Linked DNA regions of Coturnix japonica. The protein of the gene in region 2 purifies or fractionates together with the protein of the main gene of each other region. This does not show direct contact. Links are inferred from orthologs where the notes say so. Each region holds a gene or a part of one and is shown on either strand. Other genes may lie near its edges. The genes, in order: PATL1 and LSM1.

Evidence for each region.
Region 1: the proteins of LSM1 (region 2) and PATL1 purify together in Homo sapiens (co-immunoprecipitation; 3 studies listed by BioGRID and IntAct, with this or other methods). This does not show direct contact. The link is inferred for Coturnix japonica from reciprocal best matches to the Homo sapiens genes LSM1 and PATL1.

What each region holds. Positions count from the first base shown.
Region 1 is NC_029520.1:202,422-206,898, forward strand, and holds the start of PATL1 (protein PAT1 homolog 1), read right to left. Parts: upstream 3,062-4,477; 5' UTR 3,006-3,061; coding exon 2,991-3,005; intron 2,698-2,990; coding exon 2,586-2,697; intron 2,509-2,585; coding exon 2,219-2,508; intron 1,609-2,218; coding exon 1,414-1,608; intron 1,324-1,413; coding exon 1,222-1,323; intron 1,121-1,221; coding exon 1,031-1,120; intron 935-1,030; coding exon 726-934; intron 658-725; coding exon 574-657; intron 418-573; coding exon 234-417; intron 16-233; coding exon 1-15. Other genes in the region: syntaxin-3-like, read left to right, coding at 4,000-4,029. UniProt on the Homo sapiens protein: RNA-binding protein involved in deadenylation-dependent decapping of mRNAs, leading to the degradation of mRNAs. Acts as a scaffold protein that connects deadenylation and decapping machinery.
Region 2 is NC_029537.1:3,644,694-3,648,322, forward strand, and holds LSM1 (U6 snRNA-associated Sm-like protein LSm1), read right to left. Parts: upstream 2,152-3,629; coding exon 2,106-2,151; intron 1,967-2,105; coding exon 1,898-1,966; intron 1,343-1,897; coding exon 1,227-1,342; intron 1,157-1,226; coding exon 986-1,156; 3' UTR 741-985; downstream 1-740. Other genes in the region: BAG4 (BAG family molecular chaperone regulator 4), read left to right, coding at 2,150-2,371, 2,449-2,529, 2,741-2,974, 3,292-3,516. UniProt on the Homo sapiens protein: Plays a role in the degradation of histone mRNAs, the only eukaryotic mRNAs that are not polyadenylated. Probably also part of an LSm subunits-containing complex involved in the general process of mRNA degradation.

The DNA.
Region 1 (4,477 bases), on a different chromosome or scaffold from region 2:
CTTCTGGAAGTAGTTCTGGGACAGGGACAGGAAAGGTCAGGTAAGCACCCCAGGAGCAAAGTTCTCTCCCCCCCCGCTTCTCCTTCACACAGCAGTGCTTCAAGAGCACTCCATCCCAGTACCCACAGAGACAGCAACATCTTCTCCGATGCTCCTCAGCCCTCCCTTTCTCAAGGCAGGGTGTGACGGCTCTTCCCTCCCACTGGCCCCACCCCTGCCCTCCCTCCCAATACCTGATAGTAGTAGTCGTCCAAGTAGGGATCGGTGCTCTGCAGCTGCATCATCTGGATCTTAGACACCCAGTCCTTCTCCCGCTGCAGCATGAGGTTGGCGTAGGGGTCCTTGCGCACCTGCTCCTGGTGGCTGCCCCGGTGGCCCCCTCGGTCCCCCACCGAGCCGTTGAGGCCACGGTGCTGGCTGGCAGGAGGCAAGAAGGGCACCCATGAACACACAGGAGCTACAGGAAGGGACAGAGAGTGGTGCACAGGCTACCCCCGGCTGCATGGGCCCCCCAGAACAGCCGGCACCGGAGCATCGCCCACCTCCTCACGCTCCCTCCCGCCCAGTGCTCACTTTCTGTTCTGCTGCTGCCGCTGGTGCAGGAGCCGGCGGTGCTGGGGGTGCAGGTGGGTGGTGTCCAGTCGGAAGGGCTGCGGCCTGTGGGGAGCACAGGGGGTTAGAGGGCCGTGGGGCAGGTGAATGATCATGAGGGGGTCAGTGCCTACCTCAGGCCCTGCAGGTGAGGCATGGGGCCCGGCGGAGGCTGCGGTTGTGAGGGCGGAGTGGGGCCAGCCCCGAAGAAGGCACGAAAGCCACCAGTGGGAGCCATCATCTGCCCCACTCTGCCCTGCAGCAGCTTGGGGTTGACGGAGGGTAGTGGGCTCCCAACAAGGCCTGAGACTCGAGCAAACTGGCTAGGAGAAATTCGGCCAGCCTGTGGGGCAGAGGGAGTGCGGATCAGGCAGGGTCCATCAGAATGCTGGACCCTCGCCCCTATGGGCCTTGGGGGGCACAGAGTCTAGGGCTTTACCTGTGCACCTCCCAGCAGCTGTGCCCGCTGCAGGTGGGTGAGAACGGGAGAGACACTGGTAGGGAACGGGTGGCCCAGCAAGGAAGAGTTCTGCAGGAAAATAAAGGAGCAGACCCCTTGGTCACAGTCCTCCTAGGCAGTATGATGCAGTCGGGGCATCAGAGGGTTATGGGGGTGGGAGCAGGGGGTACCGGTACGTTGCAGAGCTGGTTGGGGGACATCCTCTCGCCGTAGGGAGCAGAGTAGCGCTGCTGCATGGTAGCCCGGATGTGGACAGGCTTTGGACACAGGATCTGAGAGAAGGAAAGCAGTGGGGGTCTGACCGCTGGATCCTCACCAGGGGTGCAGGGGTCTGCACCTGCTGTGAGGAGTTGGGGCCATACCTGCTGGTTAAAATTGGGCATGGTGGCCTGCTTGGGTGGGGTGCCGATGGGGACTGCTCGCACGGGGGGGCTCCCGATGATGGGGGAGGATGAGCGGCGTGGCAGTGCCCGTTCCGAGGGGTCCCGCTCCTCCTCCCGAGCCTGTGGGGGTCTCTGGGGCAGAGCGTAGTCCAGCACGGACAACGATGGCATCTCCTGAAAGTAAAAGTGGCCCTGTGAAAAAGACTCAGAGCTGGACGTGGTGGCAAGGTGCACTGAATATGACGTGGTATAGAACAGAGGAGCCGCCCCATTGCGCTTTCCCAGTGCTGGAGATCCCCACGCCCCAGCCAGGGTTCTCAGAGAGCCCTAAGGATCCTGCGCCCAGCTCTTAATTAAGCCTGACTCTCTGTCAACCAGCAATGAAAACAATTATGGCTCGAGGCACTGACGATCCCAAATCTTGAGTGCTGACACCATCAGGGATTGCGTGGCATCTCCCAGCCCAGAGGGAGCATGTGCAGGGACTAGAAGTGATGTCCAAGAGCAGCTCACCCAACAGCCACAGAATATCCCAAGCTGGGAGGGGCCCACAGGACCACTGAGTCCAACCCCCGGCCCCACATAGGAACGCCCCAAACACAAACCTACATCTGAGGGCATTGCCCCAACACTCCTCGAGCTCTGGTAGTGTGGGGCAGTGCCTGCTTCTCCGGGAAGCCTTCTCCACACCTACAGCCACTGTGGTGAAGAACCTCTTCCTAACACTCAACCCTCCCCCATTCCTGCAACCCTTCGTTGCGTGTGCCCAGCGTTGTGCCCCTACCTGTGTGAGCAGTGGCGTGCGGATGCGCTGCAGCACAGAGGGGCCATCCCAGATGCTGGTGTTGAGCGTCACGCTCTGTGCAGCAGACCCACGGGTGTGCACGGCTCTCATGATGGCAGGGTCCTCCAGCTCGCTCTCGATCACCAGCCGTGTCAGTCGCTCCGCCAGCGCATCCTCAGGTTCCCCCAGCAGCTCCGCATCCTCACTGCTGGGTTGGGCCTGCTGCCCTGAGCCCACGGGTTTCTCCTCCAGCTCAGCCAACCGCTCGTGGGCCTCCTGCCAGTCATCATCTGCACGGGAACGGCGGGCTGAGCGCAGCGGCAGAGAGCACCGGGTGGGCAGTGTGGACAAGAGACAGAGAACTCACCGACAGCCCCGGCCCCAAAGGTGTCATCGTTGAACTGATCGATGTCCTCATCCTCCTCGCCCAGCACCTGGAAGCCGTCCTCCTCCTCGTCCAGCGGGCACTCCTCCAGGGACTGCAGCGGCAGACGGTGCCTTCGTACCACCACGACTACCGAACCGGCGCTGCCACCGAGGCCAAGGCCCAGCCCTGCCCGGCAGCCCCGGTCCCGAGCAGCGGTCCCAGCACAGCGCCCACACCGACTCTCGGCCCTGAGCCCACAGCCTCGACCCTCAGCCCGACCCGCGGCCCCACGGCCCTGACCCTGAGCCCGTAGCCGCGGCCCCGAACCCAACTCGGAGTCCCGAGCTCCGACCCCCGCGGCCCGACCCCGCCCCCTCAGCCCCCTCAGCCCCTCCCCCCGCTCACCGGGTACCGGAACATGGCGGCGGCGGCGGCGCCCCCCGCCCGCAGGCTCCGCGCGGCCCGCTACGGCCCCGCCGCGCATGCGCCGCCGCGGGCGCACGCGCATGACGTCACCTCCTCCGCCCGTCCGTGCGGTGCGCATGCGCAAATGAGCTCCGCCCAGCCGAAGGCTCACAGAGCGCCGCGCCCCACTGCGGGCGGCTCTTAAAGGGACAGGCCGCCTTTTTCTGACCGCCTCCGTGCACTCGTGCGCCGTCGTGCCCCGGCCGCGCGCTGCTGCCCCAGCCGTGCCCCACACGCCAGCCACGGCTCAGCGATGTCCGCTGGGTCTTTCCCTCCAGTCGTGTCCCCCAGCCTGTGTCCCCCCACGCGGGACCCCTGCCCACGGACACGTCCCCCAGCTCACGTCCCCTAACCGTGGCCGTTCTCCCAAGTTCGAGCCCCCTATACACGGCCACGTCCCCCCAACCTGCATCCCATAGTTCATGTGCTCTACCCACGGCCATGTCCCCCGCTTCATGTCCCCTAACCATGGCCACAGCCCCGGCCCGTGTCCCCTACTGTGAGCCACATCTCCAACCCGTGCCTCCCATCCATGGCCACGTCCCACGGCCCGCGTCCTTCACCCTCAGCCACATCCCCACCTTGTGTCCCCCCGCCCGTTCCCTCCACCCATAGCCGTGTCCCCACTTCGTGTCCCAACACTCCCATCCCTTATCCATGTCCCTGTCCTCCAACCCACATCCCACCACTCACATCCCCTACCCATGGCCGTGTCCCCCTGTCCCTCACCACCCCCTGTCCCCCATCCTGTGCCGGGGCCACCTGTAGGCTGTGGTGACACTGCTGTCACTGGCACCTTTGTCACCCCCCCTCGGGTGCCTGGATCACACGTGGCTGGTGCGGGCAGCCCCGCCTCAGCCTTGCCCTCGTCGAGTGCCCATCAGCGGGGATTAGCGGGGCTGATGTAGGACGGCAGCGGGCGGGCGGCGAGTCCTGGCAGCCCGGCACCATGCGGGACCGGCTGGAGCAGCTCCGGGCGGTGAGGGGTGCAGGGCAGCAATGGGGGTCACCCGTGGGGGTACCCAATGATGGGTGCTGCCCTACGGCTGGAGGGGACCGGGGGTTTGAGCCCTGGGAGGGTTTGGGTTGGCTGCGTCCTCGCTATGGGGCGCAGGAAGGGATGTGGGACACGCGTGGGGCCCCCTGTCCTCCTTTAGGGTTCTTGGGGTGCTCCTCACGCTGCGCTGCCCCGCGGCCTCCGTGCTGCCCGTGGGGGATTTAGCGGGGATTAAGGGAGGCGCTGCCCACCATCGGGGGGGAGCGGGGGATTAGTGTTATTTTTACCCCAGAAATGGGAGGGGTGGGGGTGGCCGGGGCACGACACCGCGGTCATGGCAAGGGGGGATGCGGGGCAGAGGGGAGCTCGCGTGGAGCCGCCGTGGGGTGAAATTGGGGGCCACAAAGCCCCACGATGGAGCGCCCCATCC
Region 2 (3,629 bases):
ACTTCAGGACACCTATAAAACTGAGGTGTCCCTCATTGGTTCCACAGCGTCACATCAGCACCTCCTCAGGTGTCCCACACCACCACCATGCCCAGGGACTGCAAGAAAGGGGGGGTCCCAGCCCTACCAGCCTCACTGCACACCCTCCTTACTCACCCAGGGACCTCACATCCCCTTTGACATTCAGCCCTCCCAATGCACTGCTATTGCTCACAGTGCCCTGAGCCCAGGAGAGGCCACAGCAGGGGGGGCTGAATCCATGTCCCCTCCATGTGCAGGGACCTCAGGGTGCCCCCCAGCCTCCCCCACTGCCCCAAGGCTGCTTTGATGCTATTTGGAGAGCAGAGATAAACACACAGCCCCCCCCCCACACACACACACACACAACAGGGGGCAGGCAATAAGATAACACAGGCACTGCCCAGGCTGTAAGGCAGGAACTGACACCAATAGGAGCCCCATAATATCAGAGAACACATGGTAATGAAAGACCCCAAACTCTGCTTTTTCCTGCCTTACCTACAAGTGCTGAAGTCTGCAGCACCCAGTTCAGCTCAACCCACTCAGTTCCTACCTACCTGCCTCACACATGTGATGCTCCATCAACTCAGCAGGTAATTAACTAATTAGGGGGCAAACAGCTGCACCTGAGTGAACAGAGCTGAACTGGGCCCAGCACCTGAGGTCATGGAGAGTCCCATTGTGCCCATAACCACACAGAGCCCAAACACAAGCCAAGCTGTTGCTGTTGAGATCAGGGGTTTATTTACAGGTGAAGGGAAGCTCTCACTCAGCTCCAGGCGAGGAGCCAAAAGAAACAAACCAAAAAGGAACAGAGACCTTCATCTCTGAACAGAAATTGCTGCACCCCCCGGAGCATCCAGTTACCTCCGAGGGTTCCCCATTGCCATCACTCCTTTTTTCCCCTCAAGGGGGAACAGAAGCCATGATTTCAGTGCCTGCACCACTCAGCATTGCCATCCCATCAGTACTCATCCAACGTGTCAGCCCTGGGCACCGCCAGGCCTCTCTCCTTCAACGCCTGCACCTTCAGCTTCTCCGACTCCTGCTTGGCTTGCAGCTCCAACCTTTGCTCCTCCAGGATCTCCTCGATGGAAACCTGCTGCAGCAACGTGTCGCTCTCCTTCTCCAGGTCCTGCAAAGCAAAGAGCTGTTGTTAAGCAGAGCTGCAGGGTGAGGGGCTGCAGGGCACGGGGCTCACTCACAATCTCCCCCAGCAGCACCACGTTCTCCCCTCTCACAACGAAGATCCCTCGAGGGATGTCCCCATATTTCTTGCCCACGTGAATTCGCTCCACTGTCTGATGCAGCACCAGGTTGGCTGTGGGGATAGAGAAAAAAACACCCCGTTTTTAACCAGTTTTTTACCAAAACCACCCAGTTTTTCACCAAACAGAGCACCTCACCTGAAACAACCCATAGCCTAAAGCATAGGGAGCAGCTGGATTGCATTATAGCACTATAATCCTATATGCTGAGCATCCCCTAAACAACATGATCCCCCAAACCCAGCCACTATAGGACCCCAAAGCAGCCACTACCTATAGCTGATAAAGGGATCCCTGGTGCTATAGGGTAAAGAATGAGGGGCTCAGCTATAGGCACAAGTGAATGGGGAAGGGGGGAAAGGGGGGTAGGGAGAAGAGGGGTAAAGGGAGGTAAAGACTGGGGGGCTCAGCCATAGGCACAAGTCAATGGGGGGATGAACTTAGTGCTGCCCTAAGGGGGGAATATAACATGGGGTGGGGGTCCAACATGACAAGGGATGGGGGAACCACAAACTGGGTTCCTATCGGAGCCATATGGGTTCTATTAAGCCCTGATCCGGTGTCGTTCCCGGTGCTGCCCCCCCTATCCCCCCCCATTATATCCGTACCGAACTGATCGATGCTGCGTAGGAATCCGATCAGCGTCCGGCCGTCCCGCAGCAGAACCAGGTGTTTCTCTATGGGGAAAGGGATCAAGCGGGGGTACGGAACATCGGTCCCAATGGGAACCAAGGGGAAAACCGGGGTCCCCCGCGTCCGGGTCCCGGTTTTCCCCTTGGTTCCTTATTGAATGAATAGAACCTCGGTCACACTCACTGTCAATGTCCTGGATGAGGCTTGCAGTACCCGGCATGTAGTTCATGGTGGCGGAACCGCCCCACGTTGGGCGGTACTTAGCGATGCACTGTCCCTTTAAAAGCGGCGCCGGTAGTGCGAGCGGGGCTGCCTTTCATTGGTTACATCCAGGGGTCCTCGCATCCTATTGGTCGCATGGTGGGGGCCTTTTATCCTTGTGTCGCGCTGTGGGGTGGGCTACAGCGTGCCGGGTTGAAAACATGGAGCACCGCGGTCGTACCGGGCAGGTAAAGGGGGGGGGGGAACCGAGCACAGCCCGTTATCCCGTTATCACTGCTCCATATAATGGGGTTTTTCCTTATAGGAGCCACCAGGCCCCGGCTTCAACCCCGGTTATTGGAGCCCAGCGTTCGGTTTTGGGGCCTACACCGACGGAGCGGACTCGGTATGTTGGGTTTGGGGGATGAGGGTCCATTTCCATCCCCCTCCCGTCCATTAAGGCTTTGACCGAGCTGTGCTTCATTTCTATGCCATAGGATACAATGGGCTTCAAGCCCCACTTGTTTCCTACAGCTCAGTACAGAAATAACCCATTAAATATCCTAACACACATTTCAGCTCATTTTCTTTCTCTTTTTCCCTTTTCTCCTCCCCAGGCTATGGACTCACCCTACACCAACGGATCCTACAGCGCCCCATACCCTCCCCATTACACCTCACTGCCACAAACACGAACCTACAGCACTTCAGGTCCATCCTACAGCACCGACAGCTCAGCCCCATATCGACCCCCCCCTCCTGCCCCTCCCTGGGGCTGTGGCACACAGGACTGCCCAGCAGAGGGATGCTCAATGCGCAGGCAAAAGGCTGCTGGGTATTCCCCACCGCAGGTAAGAAACCATTTAGGGTGTGCACAGCAAAGCGAGAGCTCCTGTGCTGCTCACCCCATAGAGGGTGAACCCACAGTGCACCCTAATTGGGCCCAAATGGCTTCTATGTCCCACCCAGCTCGCCCTGCTTGCTCTTGTAAGAACTTGGAGTTGCCCCTTTCTGCTGGGAGCTCTGAGGTCACGAGCTTTGGAGCAGAAAGCAGCAGCAGTCCCAGTGCTGGGGCTCATCCCAGTGCTGGGGCTCATCCCAGAGCTTCCTTCTGCCACAGGCATTGGGAGCTGACTTAGGACTTACATCTGTCCCCCTCTCCCCACAGACCCCAGGGATGCCCGTTCCTCAGTATCCATATGGAGACCACAGCCCCGGGGCCAACCCACAGCCCAGGGCTCAGGAGGAGGCGTGGGCTCCCCCTCACTATGGGGTGCAGGCACGGTATGCATGGCCTGCAGCTCCAGCACATGGGAATCCATTCCTCTCTGAATCACAACCACCCTGGACTGGCAGCAGGACTGCAGCTCATCCTCCTGTGTGGGACTCGAAGGTACAGTGATGCTTTAATGGCTCTGACACAAAGATTCTGGCTGTAGCCAGAGCTCAGCTCATGCTGCCTTCCCCCGCAATACACACATGCAGCTGCTCAGTGCTCCTTTCTCC